Drosophila melanogaster: one gene and its partner. The protein of the gene in region 2 purifies or fractionates together with the protein of the main gene of each other region. This does not show direct contact. Each region holds a gene or a part of one and is shown on either strand. Other genes may lie near its edges.

Evidence for each region. The genes of interacting proteins can lie anywhere in the genome.
Region 1: the proteins of borr (region 2) and CG31278 purify together in Drosophila melanogaster (affinity purification with mass spectrometry, with the first as the bait; one large-scale study listed by BioGRID). This does not show direct contact.

What each region holds. Positions count from the first base shown.
Region 1 is NT_033777.3:10,704,919-10,711,722, forward strand, and holds CG31278 (uncharacterized protein), read right to left. Parts: upstream 3,423-6,804; 5' UTR 3,345-3,422; coding exon 2,940-3,344; coding exon of another isoform or gene 2,929-2,939; intron 2,869-2,928; coding exon 2,557-2,868; 3' UTR 2,480-2,556; downstream 1-2,479. Other genes in the region: CG31391 (uncharacterized protein), read right to left, coding at 1-71; CG31467 (uncharacterized protein), read right to left, coding at 374-1,816; CG14684 (uncharacterized protein), read left to right, coding at 2,085-2,465; CG31373 (uncharacterized protein), read right to left, coding at 3,669-3,980, 4,138-4,416; CG14689 (uncharacterized protein), read right to left, coding at 4,758-6,221.
Region 2 is NT_033779.5:9,249,301-9,256,535, forward strand, and holds borr (borealin-related), read right to left. Parts: upstream 3,819-7,235; 5' UTR 3,687-3,818; coding exon 3,335-3,686; intron 3,051-3,334; coding exon 2,642-3,050; intron 2,577-2,641; coding exon 2,378-2,576; 3' UTR 2,172-2,377; downstream 1-2,171. Other genes in the region: aust (australin), read right to left, coding at 992-1,386, 1,453-1,708; lectin-30A, read right to left, coding at 4,860-5,531. UniProt on the Drosophila melanogaster protein: Component of the chromosomal passenger complex (CPC), a complex that acts as a key regulator of embryonic mitosis.

The sequences.
Region 1 (6,804 bases), on a different chromosome or scaffold from region 2:
TTCTCCGAGTCCCATGACCACTTGCCGCTGTAGTACTTTGGAGCGTAGTTATCGACATGGACTCTTTTCATCGTAGTCGCGCAGATAAACCAAGATCGGGTTGTGTTTAGTGTTTTTAAAGTGTATTTAAATTGATGTGTACGTGACGAAGTTTAGTGGAATTATGCTCATGTTTAAAGGCCTAAAGTGAAGTTTTATTCCCAAGCTCCCACCTACGAAACCCATACCCTTGATCGGATGCCAATGTCTTTCGTCTTCGTGCATTTATTATAAAATAGCAATCCATAAGTGTCAGTGCTTTAAAGCTCCGATTTTCTGTATATATAATAATATGCAAAAATTGCAATTAACGTATAAAATTAGGTAGTTTTTTTTACCGCTTTGCCTTGCCTACACTAAATCGCGATGCAATACTACTACGCGTAGATGATGCATGCTCCGGATCTCTATCCTCCTTGCGTATTTTGGACATGATCTTAAAATAGTTGGAGATGATCTGATCGACCCTTTGTCCTGAAGATGTGCTTGCCAACTCCTTTTCACAACGCGAGACTACGTTCGTGAGTAGACCTCCGGACCGAAAGAAGGCTATGTTGATGTCTCGTTTGACCCACTTGCAGATCTGATGGTGTGTGACCCGCTCATGAACCTTACAGAGCTTGTAGAAATGTTCATATTTCTCTTTCATTGTACGCATCTGAAGCTCACCTATCTTGGGTATTTGCAGGTGAGGTCTCCTGATTATATGGTACGGATCGAACTTTTCCGAGAAGTTTGAGAAGCGGACAGCCGGCCAGTCGAGACTAAGAAGCGTGTTGTAGAGGCTCTTGGGATGGCCCATGATGCCGTGCGATACATCTATAAAGCTGAGCTGCGAACCGGGCACAATGTACTCCAGCTCAATCTCGGCAATGCGGATATCGTTTCCTCTGTACTTGCGTTCGCCTATCCACAAAATGGGCAAATCCTCTTCAGGAACCAGCTTTAGCTCCTGGACTAGAGGCGATTCCTGAATTCGATAATTGTAGTTCTTTTTGTTTCTGCCGTAGAGAAGACTGCGCTCCGCCTCCGTGAACTCGAGGTATTCTGGGTGGGCGGAAACAAAGTGCTCGGAGCGGAAAAGGCGATTGATCTCCATTTCGATTACGTAATACGCCCGGCGATGCATACAGATCCAGACTATTTGGATGGCCACTGCCAGAAAATGCTCATGGAAAAACTTATCGTGGATTGTTGCTGAAATGTTGGAAATCGGCTTCATGTGGTAGTACTTGGACATATTATCCTCGCCCCCGATGATGCGGCAGTAGTTTCGTGCAACAAGCATACGATACTGGCTTAAGTATACCGAAAAGGTTCGTTTCATATCGTTGGTCTGCTCGCTCTGCACCTGACCCAGGGGACCGGAAAGCTCATCCCGACGTATAAGTATAAACTCGACCAGTCGCAAATAGTGCTCAAAGTATATAATCAGGGAGTGAAGCAACAAGTGCGTATCCCGCTCGTACATGAACTCAACGAACTTGTAGGTTAGAAATTCTGAAGGCATAAGGTAGAGAACCAAGTTTCTAATATCTCCGACCACCACAACGTCACTATAGTTGCTTTTCGGTAGCACATACTCCTGTCGGAAGATGAGCTCCTCCTCCTGGTCTATTGTGCGCAGGAACCTGTAGCCATTGGTCATAATATAGCGCTCTCTTGCGTTTTCCAGATCGTTGTGCGCCTGAAAGTGGAGGCAGTCTTTCTCCGAGTCCCATGACCACTTGCCGCTATAGTACTTTGGGGCGTAGTTATCCACATGAATGCGCTTCATTGCGTTTGGCAGTAAATAATGGTATAAATTTATAAAATCGTATTTTAGTCAAAAGCAGTGAAAAATCAGTGTCGTTACATTGAGAGTTAAATATTTATGTTCCTCAAAAAGACTGAAATTTAGATGCTGCAGCGACTCCGATTATTTAAAAGACCAAATACAATAATTTCCAAGGGCGTGATTTTTCTGTCAATCTGTATTCTCAGAATTTGTATTTTCCGGTACCACGCTGATTTAGGTGACCGGTGTTTCCCGGACTGTGCTAAGCATGTTCCGCCGCACTAATGCCGATCCGGTCATACGGCAATTTATTCTGCGCACTGCAGTCCTCAATTATCTTGGCAAGAGTCTGCGAGAGCAGTATAATGAATATTGCCTTTTGAGAACCCAGCACGAAAATATTAGGCTGAAGACTGCGAGTGATCAAGAGCTTGAGGACCTGCCGACTCTTTCCGAGCTATTTGAGATGCAACAGTTGAAGACGGCTGCCACCCATCGTCTGCTGATGCGGGAGTACCAAGAATTGCTTGCCTACATGATGGACAAGAGTGATTTGTGGGACAGTCAGGAGTACTTCAAGGCCAAGTCTGCGCTTGGGGCGGCCATCCACAATCTACGGGTTTGTGCACCCACCAAACCAATGGACTAAAACCAGTCGAGAGGAACATTTGCCAGATAGAATTCCATTCAATCAGTATATATACATACATAAATAGTGAAACGATCCACGAGCGACTTAACTACTTGTAGAAGGGTATCTCCACGCGTCCGGATTTCGTGTTAACCGCCTCCCAGCAGGTGCACGCAAAGGTTGAGCGGTCCATGTGATCGGTGTATAGTTTTCCCTCCAGGTGATCCATTTCGTGCTGCGCTATCCGGGCATTCCAACCACTCAGAGCCAGTTCGCTTTGGTTTCCTAGTTGGTCAAGGCCTGTTAGCTTTACACCTTCGAAACGCTCCACTTCGGCAGAGTAACCTCGCACACTCATGCATCCTTCTGGATGCTTCAGCTTCGCGTAGTTGGTCACCGTCAGGACGGGATTGATGAAAATCTGTAAGAAGCAAACCATTGTATTATAGGGTTTGGGCTTCCGAACACAGCTAGTTAGGACCCCAGTCTCACAGTCAGTGGCAACTCGGACATTTGTCGGGCTTGGTAAACGGCCTCGGGCAGCTCCTTTCGGATCCGTCCCTTGAACTCCATTGCTATGATCCTGAGCGATACTCCAATCTGAGGAGCCGCAATGCCGACGCAGTCGAACTTCCTTAGCACCTTGACCATCCGCTCGACGATGGCCTTAATCTCGGGGCTAGCCATGTGCTCCTTGGGCACCAAAGCCGCTTGTTGCCTAAGAACAGGGTCACCAATCTGGGTGAAATGGTTGTATGGCGGCAAGTTTGTGCGCTCCGTGGTCCACAGGTGCTGGTACCACTTCCTGAACGACTGATTAGCGGGAGGACTCGTTCCAAAGGATCGACAATGTCCCAGAATCGCTTGGCATACTTTTATCCGTGGTTTCAGGTGCATTTTGTGAAATGTTTAGCCTCCTTTAATATTCCGATCAAAATCGTAGGGAATATAGTTACACAACACGGTCATACTGGCCAGCTGACCGGCTAGGGATGTGAAAGTATGTACCTATCGATATATCGGTGGAAATAGATTTGATATTTGGCGCGCTTTTAAATATATGCTAGGTGCATAAAATACTTTTTCCCCGCACACAAAGTTTATTTCGTAAACAGCGCATTCATTTCAGAAGTGTATTTTATTTTCAAACAATATACAAATATGTTGTATAAAGCGCCATAAAAAAGTGAAAAGCTCCTTGAATTAAATGCAACCAAGTTATTACTTGTGAAACCAAATGGCGGATCGACCTTCAGCTGCGTTGATTTGCTCCCAGAGGATGCAGTTGAAGGTGGAGAGATCCATCCTATCCATGTAGATAGTTCCATTAAGGTGATCCACCTCGTGCTGGGCGATCCGTGCGTTCCAGCCCTCCAGTTCCATTTCCGACGGAGTGCCCAGCTTGCCGATCCCCCGGATCCGGACCTTATCGTACCGTTCCACCTCAGCGGAATAGCCTCGCACACTCATGCAACCTTCGGGATGCTTGTTTACTTGGCTGCTGATTATCTCCAGCTCCGGATTAATGAAGACCTGCAAGCAAATGATTTATGATGAGAAATCACGGGATTGTTGCTGCACATAAGCAATATTTTTGTATGCAGAAATTTAGTTTCTCAAATTCATACGTTTATAAAACTGCATAGATTTACATATATTTTTCGAACGCGAAAAGAAAAGCTTTACTTACGGCCAAGGGCAGTATGGACATCTTACGCTCCTCGTAGATTTCCGGCTTGAATTGCTCTTGCTTTCCCTCTCGGAATTCCATAACGATAATACGCAGCGGTATTCCAACTTGGGGCGCAGCCACGCCCACGCAATCGTAGTGACGTAACACCTTTACCATGCCGTCAATAATCTGGTTGATCTCCCTACTATCGATGTCCTCGGGCGGCACCTCTTCTGCCCTTTGGCGCAGAACAGGATCCCCAATTTGGGTAAAATGACGATATGGCGGAGCGGACATGATTCTGGTCGGAAGAAGATCTCTACTGAACCGTGTCTATCGAGCAACTACTGCACAGAGCTGTCGAGGTGGACAGATTTTGATACGATAGCCTTATCTGGGGATCAGCTGATCTGCCATTTGAAACACTGGGAACGATAAGTCTACGGTTCGCATTTTAAAGCGGAAATATATACCTTAAAAATCCAATACAATTTTTTAAAAATACTAGTAATATCCTACAATATTAGTAACAACAATATTGCCAAGCTTTCAAGATTTATAAGTATTTTATTCACGAATAAATAATTTTGAAGTATTTGAAGTCTCTTGAAAACCTAATGGATGTGTACGACCTCAAATCAATCGAAATAGTATTCCTGTGGCGTTTTCTTTTGGCGCGGCGAATTGAAGCCCCCGATCCGCGAGGAGGTGATGCTAACGTTGTCCGGTTCATATGGAGATCCCTTGCGCAGCCTGGACTTCACCTTAAAGTAATTGGATATGACCTGGTCGACCTTGGTTACCGGTACCTTTTCGGCCAGTTCCTTCTCGCACCGGGATACCACGTTGGTGAGCAGCAGTCCCCCGGAGCGATAGAACTGGACGAGCTTGTCCCGCTTGAGCCACTTCTGCAGGATCTGCACGCTGTGCGGCTCGTAGATGCGATACACCTTGTAGAAATGCTCGTAGTTTTCATTCATCTTGCGCGCTTTCAAGGCGTCGATCTTGGGAATGTCCAAGTGCGGCTGGCGAATGATGTGGTACGGATCGTAGCCAAGCGAAAAGTTTGAGTAGCGAACTGTGGGCCAGTCCAGGTCTAGGATGGTGTTGTACAGATCCTTCGGATGTCCCAGTATGCCGTGTGCCACATCGATCATACGCAGCTGTGGTCCCGGCACAATGTACTCCAGCTCCATCTCGGCAATGCGCTTGTCGTTGCCTCGGTACTTTCGCTCGCCAATCCACAGGATGGGCATGTCCTCCTCCGCCACGTGCTCCAACTCCTGGACGAGCGGCGATATCTGGGTGCGATAGTTAACGATTTTATGGTTCCGACCGTACAGTAAACTGCGCTCCGCCGGCGTAAAGCTCAGATACTCCGGACGTGCCATAACAAAGTGATCGGAACGAAACAGACGGTTCATTTCCATCTCAATGACATTGTACGCACGGCGATGCATGCAGATCCAAACAATCTGGGTCATCACGGCCAGAAACTGCTCGTGGAAGACGCGGTCGCGACTGGTATCCGAAATATTGATAATCTCCTTCATATGGTAGTATTTGGCCATATCGCCCTCTCCCTTCAGAATCACACTGTAGTTGCGGGCCACCAGGAGGCGATACTGACTGAGATAGATCGAGAATGTCTTCTTCATATCGATGGTCTGATCGCTCTGGATCTGATCGGCCAATTCGTCGCGCCGCACCAGCACAAACTCCACCATACGCAGAAAGTATTCGAAATAAATGATGAGCGCATGGATCAGACGGTGAACCGCCGGGCGGTGCATGAACTCCACGAACCGGTAGGTCAGAAAATCGCTGGGCATCAGGAAGAGGACCAGGTCACGGATGTCGTTGATCACCAAGGTGTCAAAGTCATAGGTGCCCGTATCCCGCACGTAAGCCTGCCGGAAGATAAGCTCCTCCTCCTGGTCGATGATGCGCAGGAACTTATAGCCATTGGTGGTGATGTAGCGCTCCCTGGCATTCTCCAGATCGTTGTGCGGCTCGAATTCCAGGCAATCCTTTTCGGCGCTCCAGGACCACTTGCCACTATAGTACTTCGGTGTGTAGTTGTCCACATGGACTCTCTTCATGACTCAGTCTTTTTTTGAATATTTTTAATTATAATTGTGTTTTTAAAGGTTTTTTCTGTTATGTATTTCTGTATCTGTTTCTATAATTAGTGGTAAAGTGTGTACAAAGTTAACTGACAGAATTTAAAATGAATTTTGATTACAGCATTCGCAAATATGAAAATAAGCTTTCATAAAGCATGGCAAATAACTTTTAAAATGATTATAATGTATTACATACTCGAAAATATATTTGAATTTGTTTGAATTGATCGACAAGTAAATGAATTTGCTTCTTTAACGTCTTTGGTAAAATAAATACCATTTGTTAAAGGAAGCTAAGAGTGTGGTGCTTGAAGCCATAAGCTTTAATTTATAGTCAACATTTGTATAGAAACACAGAAAAAGCTTTCATGTTTTTTATTGTGGCACTTGGGGCTCCGGATTAACTTTAGCTTTAAGTTTAAATAAATTACTTGCTGTTTTCGAGCATTACAAATTAAACAATTCACTAAATTTACAACATATTTTCGACTCTTATTTTATTGCTTCTTAAAATTTTTAAATGCATTTTTTCTATTCTTAGTAACAGTGTAGTCTAGTT
Region 2 (7,235 bases):
GAGGGAAGACTGTACTGAAGAAAAACGGCAAGTTGTTTTAAGATTATCGTGAGTATTTTGATTAGATTATACTCGTTTATTGCTGGTTTTGAGTCAGTACCCGTATGTTTAATTCTTTGAAATCGTTTTGCGAAAACTCTCAAACCCTATCCACACAAACATAATGAATGTTACAAATCTGAATGTTATGTTGTTGTCATCTGTCACTGTTTACACGTATCAATTGATTGTCCAAATATGTATATGTTGTCTTTGTCTCTAAAAATCGTATTGAATAATTCAGTGAAAACAAGCGTATTTTAAGTCTCTATATATGTACCTTTTGCTATGTATTGTATTTTTATGTATCTGTAACTATATAAACGCGTACGACACGCCCCACTCCCACTCACATTTCACACTCAAATGGGAAACCTAAGAAACAAATGCTAAATTTAACACTATACACACTAAAAATTAATGATAATTTTTAATAACTAAATCTGTATATGTGTAAATGTAACGTTTGTCTAAGGAATCACACAACTGAAAGTGAAGTTGAAAAGTTAGGAAACCAAGTAAAGTTTCACTTGAATTTCATTTCAATGAAAACACAATACACTTTAATTTAACTAAGTACTATACTTACAAGCATAATTGAGAATGTTCACCCACAGACACACAAAACACACACATGCAACACAATAGAAAAATGTTTAAACAATTAAATTTAATGTTAGTGGAGACGGTATTCTGTACGCTATGTTTGTACTTACAAATCGATATATATATATATATATATATACATACAATTAATTAAATTTATTAATTAATTATACAACAAGAAGCAAGCAAAAAGCAGCAAACAGCAACAAGAACAACAGACACGTTCACTTAATGTTTAACAACTGAACAAAAACATTGAAAATGAGAAAATGAAAAAGACTAAATAAAATATTAACGAAATAAGCGTAATAGACGCGTTCTTAAAGTTTCCTATGATAGCTAGCAATTACGGTTTCAATTTGCCCAGTTTGTTGGCCATGTCCACAATTAATCCGAGATTGGCATTCAGTGTCTTCACCTGGTTGAGTGTGTTCTCATCCAGCTGCATCAGTACTTCCCGCTTCACGGTGTTGATCTTGTGCGGTTTCACGGTGATCACGCCGCCCCTGGTGGGAATGTGGACGTCCGCATAGCGATCCGGACGCATCTGGACGGCCAGCGGGCTTCCCGCCTTCGAGAGCACCATCTCTCCGGCGCGGGGCCATCGCACAAAGCTCATGGTGTCGCCACTCAGAGCCCTGTCCACCGAATGCGCCTGAAGCCTCGGTGGCAGGGCATTCTGCGGAGTTCGTGTTCGACCACGACTGATGGACAAACTGCGAGTTGTGGGCGGCTTAATAGCTGGAAAGAAAGTAAAACAAAAATAACAATTACTCTTCTATTGCCGACAGTTAAATTAAATCTCACCTGCCCTCTGAAATTCGGCAAAAGTCTTAAACCCGAGAGCCAAGAATTCTGGCATCTTCATTTGCAGTAGCTGCTTATCAGTCCTACCACGGATCACCTTAATTTGGTTGTCCACCTCTTGCTTGTAGCGCTTGCTCATCTCATCGATCTTCTCCAGAGCCGAATCCATTTTGATTTGGGACAGGCGCACTTTCTCTTCGCGATCAGCCTTCTGGCGCTGGGCCTGACGACGAGCTGTAATCTTGGTGCGAGGCATATTTCTAACGATTTATATATTCCAGTCAACTAATCGCCTAATTCTAACAAAGTCAAAGGGCTCTTTGGTGAACAAGCGATTCAAAACTGTATTCATATCAACGTGCGAAAATACATTTTAAACATTTTTAACATAACATAATTTTATTGGCCACTTTCTGAAATCTGGGAACTTAAAAGCGGTTGCCTCTTTTGCAATTAGCAAAAGAAAGATGTTATTTGAAGGTAGCAGTTTTTGCTAGAGCCATGAAATCCGACCATTTCATCTGCAGCAAACGAGCATCAGTCCTGGCTTGAAGCAAACCCAATTTGTTGTCCACATCCTGCTTGAACAACTTGGCCATCTCATCGACTTTATCCATTGCAGAATTAAATTGGATTCTCACTTTCTCATCTCTTTCGATTCTCCGTCGTTTTGCTTGAAGGCGAGTAATCATCATGGAACGCTTCATTTTTTTTTTTTTGGATTAAGCATGTATTTAAAACATTACATTTAAATCGCCGTACACTTGGATATGAACATGTATTGAAACTTATGCAAATACGATAGATTTTTATGAATAAAGACAAAATACTTGAACTAAATGAGTAAAATGAAAACTGAACTTAAACGAAACGTATTAAAATATATGATATAGCATTATATCTAGATAAGCGTTTGAAATGACAGCTACTTGAACACCGCCTGGCTGGCCTTATTAACAATCATCTGCAAGTTCTCGTGCAGCGTTTTGATCTGGTTAAGGGTGTCCTCGTCCAGGTTCTCCAACAGATTTGACTCCACCTCGTCGGCATCCAGTTTTTTGGGCCGCAAGCTAAGAACTCCGTTCCGAATGGGTATGTTCACATTGGCGAACTTGTCTGGCATTCTATCGTGTGGGAAAAATGGTTTTAACAAATTGGTATCGACACGTAGTATGTGATCAATACTTACACTTGAGCCACCATGGGACTGCCGTATTTGGATAGTGCCACCTCGCCGGGCTTGGGATAGCGCAGGAATGCCATCGGCGGTGTAGTTGGCGATCCGGAGCGCATTTGCTTCTGTTTCAAAGGAGTGCGGTCGGCACTGAAGGCCTTCGCACGCGAGGCCATCGGTGTGCGCAGTTTGCTGCGCGAATTGCGGCTGCTGCTGCTGCTGCTCGAAATTGACGGCGGTTTGGCCGAGTGCAATATGTTGAGATCCCCGCAGGCGGAACGACTGCGCCGCGCTCGACGAGCCCTCGCCGAGTGCAGTGGTCCGGGTGTGCGCATGGCCTTCGTGGACCGCAGCAGGGAGCCTGTGTGGGCGGCCAGGATGCTCCCACCGCTGGCACCGATGCTGCTGTCCTCTGTAAGGTAGCCTAGATACAGTGACCGGCACAGGATGTGGATGTGGGTATATGCATTTTGCGTGCATTGAAATGTGCGGTGCGGAGTTAGAAAGCAAAGTTGAGTTAGTCACAAAGCCGGACACCAGTTAGATTAAAATTAAAAGTGAAAATGGCAACAAGAGGGTATGATGAATACCGAATATACAATGGAATTTGCCAATTTGGCATGTAAAACCGGTATTCATTTGTAATTCGGGTGATGACATCCTTGCCAGCAGATTGGTATAACAGCATACATATATAGGCCAACAAACCTTCGTCATTGCGACTTCCAGTGGCGGAGGGGGCGTGGCCCTCGATGGCGCTGCCACTCATGGACATCGAGGCGAGCAGCTGCGTCTGATCGCTGGCCTTGAAGTCGCTGAAGCGGTCCAGTTCCTCGAAGAGGCGCAGCACTTCGGGCATCTTCAGATTGGCCAGCTCCTTCTGCACCTGGCCGAGCAGTGTCTTCACCTGGTGGTCCACGGCGGAGAGGAACTTGGTCTCCAGCGAATCGATGCTGATAAGGCGGGAATCCATTTTCAGCTCGTACAGGCGCACCTTCTCTTCGCGATTGGCCACCTCGCGGTTGCGTTTGGAGTTCTTTGGTATCTTGGTGCGCGGCATCGTGGCAGCGGCCTTTGTTTACACGTTACAGGGTTTTTGCGAGGAATAACTATTTTCGTAGCAAGCGTCGTCTTTTTGCTATTTCTTTTCGAGTTTGTCCGCTAAAATTCAAGCGTCATGGAACAGTGTTGCCAGATGGCTTTTCATTGCCCAGTTCACGACCGATTGAAAATACTAGAAATATTTTGATGGTGTAAGTGTAAAATGGTAACACTAATGCGCGGTAAATTCAATTAAATAATTCGAACTTAACTGAAGTCACTCCAAAATAACACATTTAAGTATATATCTTCTATATTTATTTATCTATATTTTGAATAATGAGTTTTGAATAATTCCAATGAGTTCTGCAACTAATCTCAATGAACTAGTTCCCTACAACATAGAGATCGATTTTTTTTATATCTTTATTTTTGAAAGGGGAATTCCAACTACCCATTTGTTAATAATGTAACGGTAATAGCATCTTATTATTATAACAAAATACAATATTGGTATATTAGTATTATTGAATAGTAATAATTGGAAAAACTAAAGACTTGCACACTAGAGCGTATAATAACGTAAGTGAAAACTCGAGATATAATTTTGCATCGTATGTGCGGAGGTATCTGAAATGAAAAGCCCCAAAAATTGGAGCCGCAATCCTATTAGTCCGTTTCGAAATCTCGCCCCTGGTCATAAATTGCGCTCTGCTCCACATTGTTGGATGTTTGCTATCTGTCTCTGCTAGTTGCACTTTGGCTGCCACAATGGCAGGATTCTAATAAGCGTGGGTGGCTATGGGTGTGCGAATGGCCCACAAATCAAAAGCATTTTTGTCACCATTTGGGTGGCTTCCTTGTGGAGGGGCGTGGCACTGGCCGCCCTTATTTCTGCACAGAACGTGGACACGTCATGTGTGTAAGGCATTTTGAAATACCAAGCACCGCTTTCTGGGCACTTGATGGAAACCCCATATGGATTGGCCTGGTTTTGTACTTAAGGGAAAATATTTTAATTTTCATTACCCAATAATCTTAATGATCCTCTTGGCTGAGAAAACAGTTATGTACTTCATTTTTGGGCTAGTAAAATAAAAAAGACAGTAGGCTCATAACTTTATTAAAAGCTGTCGGTAAATTGCCGAGATGCAAAATGAAAATAACTTAATTTATTATTTTCGCATTCGCATCAATCCCACTGCTCGGCTTGACATATGAACAAATGGGTGTTGAAACAATTTTCATTGTACATTTCCTTGTTGTATACATTAACGCAATCGAACTTATTGCCCCTTTCTTCTTTCTTCCACTTAAAGAACGGCGGCGATCTGCCGGTGAGTGATGATGCAAAAAGGCCGTTCTTGAACATAGCATTCATATCTATCCAAAAGACGCCGGCCGGCGCTCTTGAGAAGATCTCATTAAACTCCTGCTCATCCCTGATGGTGGCAATGTGACCGCCCAATTGACGACAGGTGTTTGAGGCGCCAAACCAATTTTGTTTGTTTTCCTTCTCAATGTAGAAGCGTCTTGTGCCCATTCTCTGGAAAAGCGCCGGATTAATCCTGTGCGAGATTCGTAGTTTCTCGAGAGTCTCCACACTCTGGTTGCCCATTATGGTCTGCAGCTCGTTCAGTGCGTATGCCAACTTGCTTTGCATGGCCATCAATCGTTCTTCTATCGATCTTTCGATCCTCACTATTTTCTGTTGCATTTCACTTTCCTTCAGCGCAATGAATGTGAACCATTGTTGTTGATTTATAGCCACTTGATCAATTAGCAGCGGATTTTCCGTTTTGTTAGCGAGAACATCACGAGAAGCCCAGGCTAGAATGACGCATATAAAACAATACTTGAACATGTTACTATGTATGACCTGCTAGTCCCAATCCTTAAAACGGACTGTTTCTGGATGTTAACATCTGTATAATGAAATAACAATCCGCATCTAAAAGCATATTAAAGCGTTGAAAACGGTTTACAACGTCTGGCAAATACATAGGTTATTCGTTCTAAGCAGGTGTATAACTAATAAAATTTATTAATACAATTTATGGCTTACCAATTAGGAAAATCTTTCTTGATACCGTACGTTCACCGCACTTTTATGATAGTCGCATAATTTCGGCCTTTTCTTAATTAAGTTGATGGGCTAGAAGTTTTAATTGGCTTGATGCTCGTTCTTGCCTTAAGCCACAAAGTGGATGAACCTAAAGGTGGGTGGGCTCTACCAAACGTCATTACCAATCGATGGCTGTGGGGAAAAGGGATATATCCGAGGCATTCATCCAGACATCTATCTATCCATCCATCCATCTATCCATCCGAGAGCAGATATTTCAGCAGCAGCAACGACAACGAAACTCAATTTGCGCCGGCCAAACGATGCGTTGAGCATATAAAATGCAAAGCGGAAGCGACGTTCATGGATAGATTACACAACTACTTACAAATGTGCGTTTAAGCACCCAACACCCACCACCTACCACCCACAGCCAGCCATATTTCCCATTTCCAACGCTTTTCCTGCGTGTCTGCAACTGTTGCATATTGCAGTGCGTGCGCTGCCTTTATTGTCCCGATGTTAATGGAAACACCTGCTGGCGGCGGAGAAGTCAGCCCCGGAGTCCGTGAACGAGTGCCAGTCATTGTCAGGGGAAATCTGGCCGGGATTGCGGGGTGAGGTTGACTGTGGAGCTGGTGGTGTACAGCCGCCCTTAAGCTGCGTCATCATCTCCATGCCGGATGACAGTAGACGGACCGAGAATGGCATCTTTTGGGAGCGCTTTCAGGTAATGCCGCCGAGAGATCCATTTTACAAAGTGCAGCCAGTAAAAGTGTTTCTGTGTCAGCTGTTGATGGTGCCCAGATGCCCTGCTAATGTAAACGTGCCACGAGGGACACAAATTATAATTATGTTGAACTCTGATACGGCATTAATGGAAGCTCCCATGCATTGATCCACCATTGTATTGATTGCTATCCAATATACCTTATAAGCCCCATTGCAGCCGTATTACTATAATTTATATTGATATTTTACCTTCATGCTTTATAATATTAAAGTTGCTTTGACTTTTCAGCATTTTTACGTTTTTAATTAGAACAGCTAGCACGTATTGAAATTGGAATACCACCACTACGTTTTAGTTTATTGATGTTAGCTTAGAAACTCATAAAAAGCGGAGAAAATGAAACAACATGTGCGTAAAAAAATGAACCCTAGGGAAGTTCTAGAACAGCAACTACCCTACGAAAAACCAAGGCAATCGTAACGAGTTTATGTCCCACCGATATAGTTCCAACCCTCCAGGTTAATGAGCCCCGAGTGGGGGAGCGGTTCAATTGAATTGTGTGCCGTAAGTTGGACAAACCCAATTAAAATTTCGACTGCCCGTTTTTCCGGCGATAAAGAAAGAATAGTGCTGGCCACCCCATTTACAATCCCCTTTGCACAGGTGTTGCACAATTCCACTCGTTCCCGGGCACTCGAAAGTGCACTTTGTACTCACTCAAAATTTACTCCAGTCTGGCGCGTTCCACTTTCACACGTTCCTCGTGGACT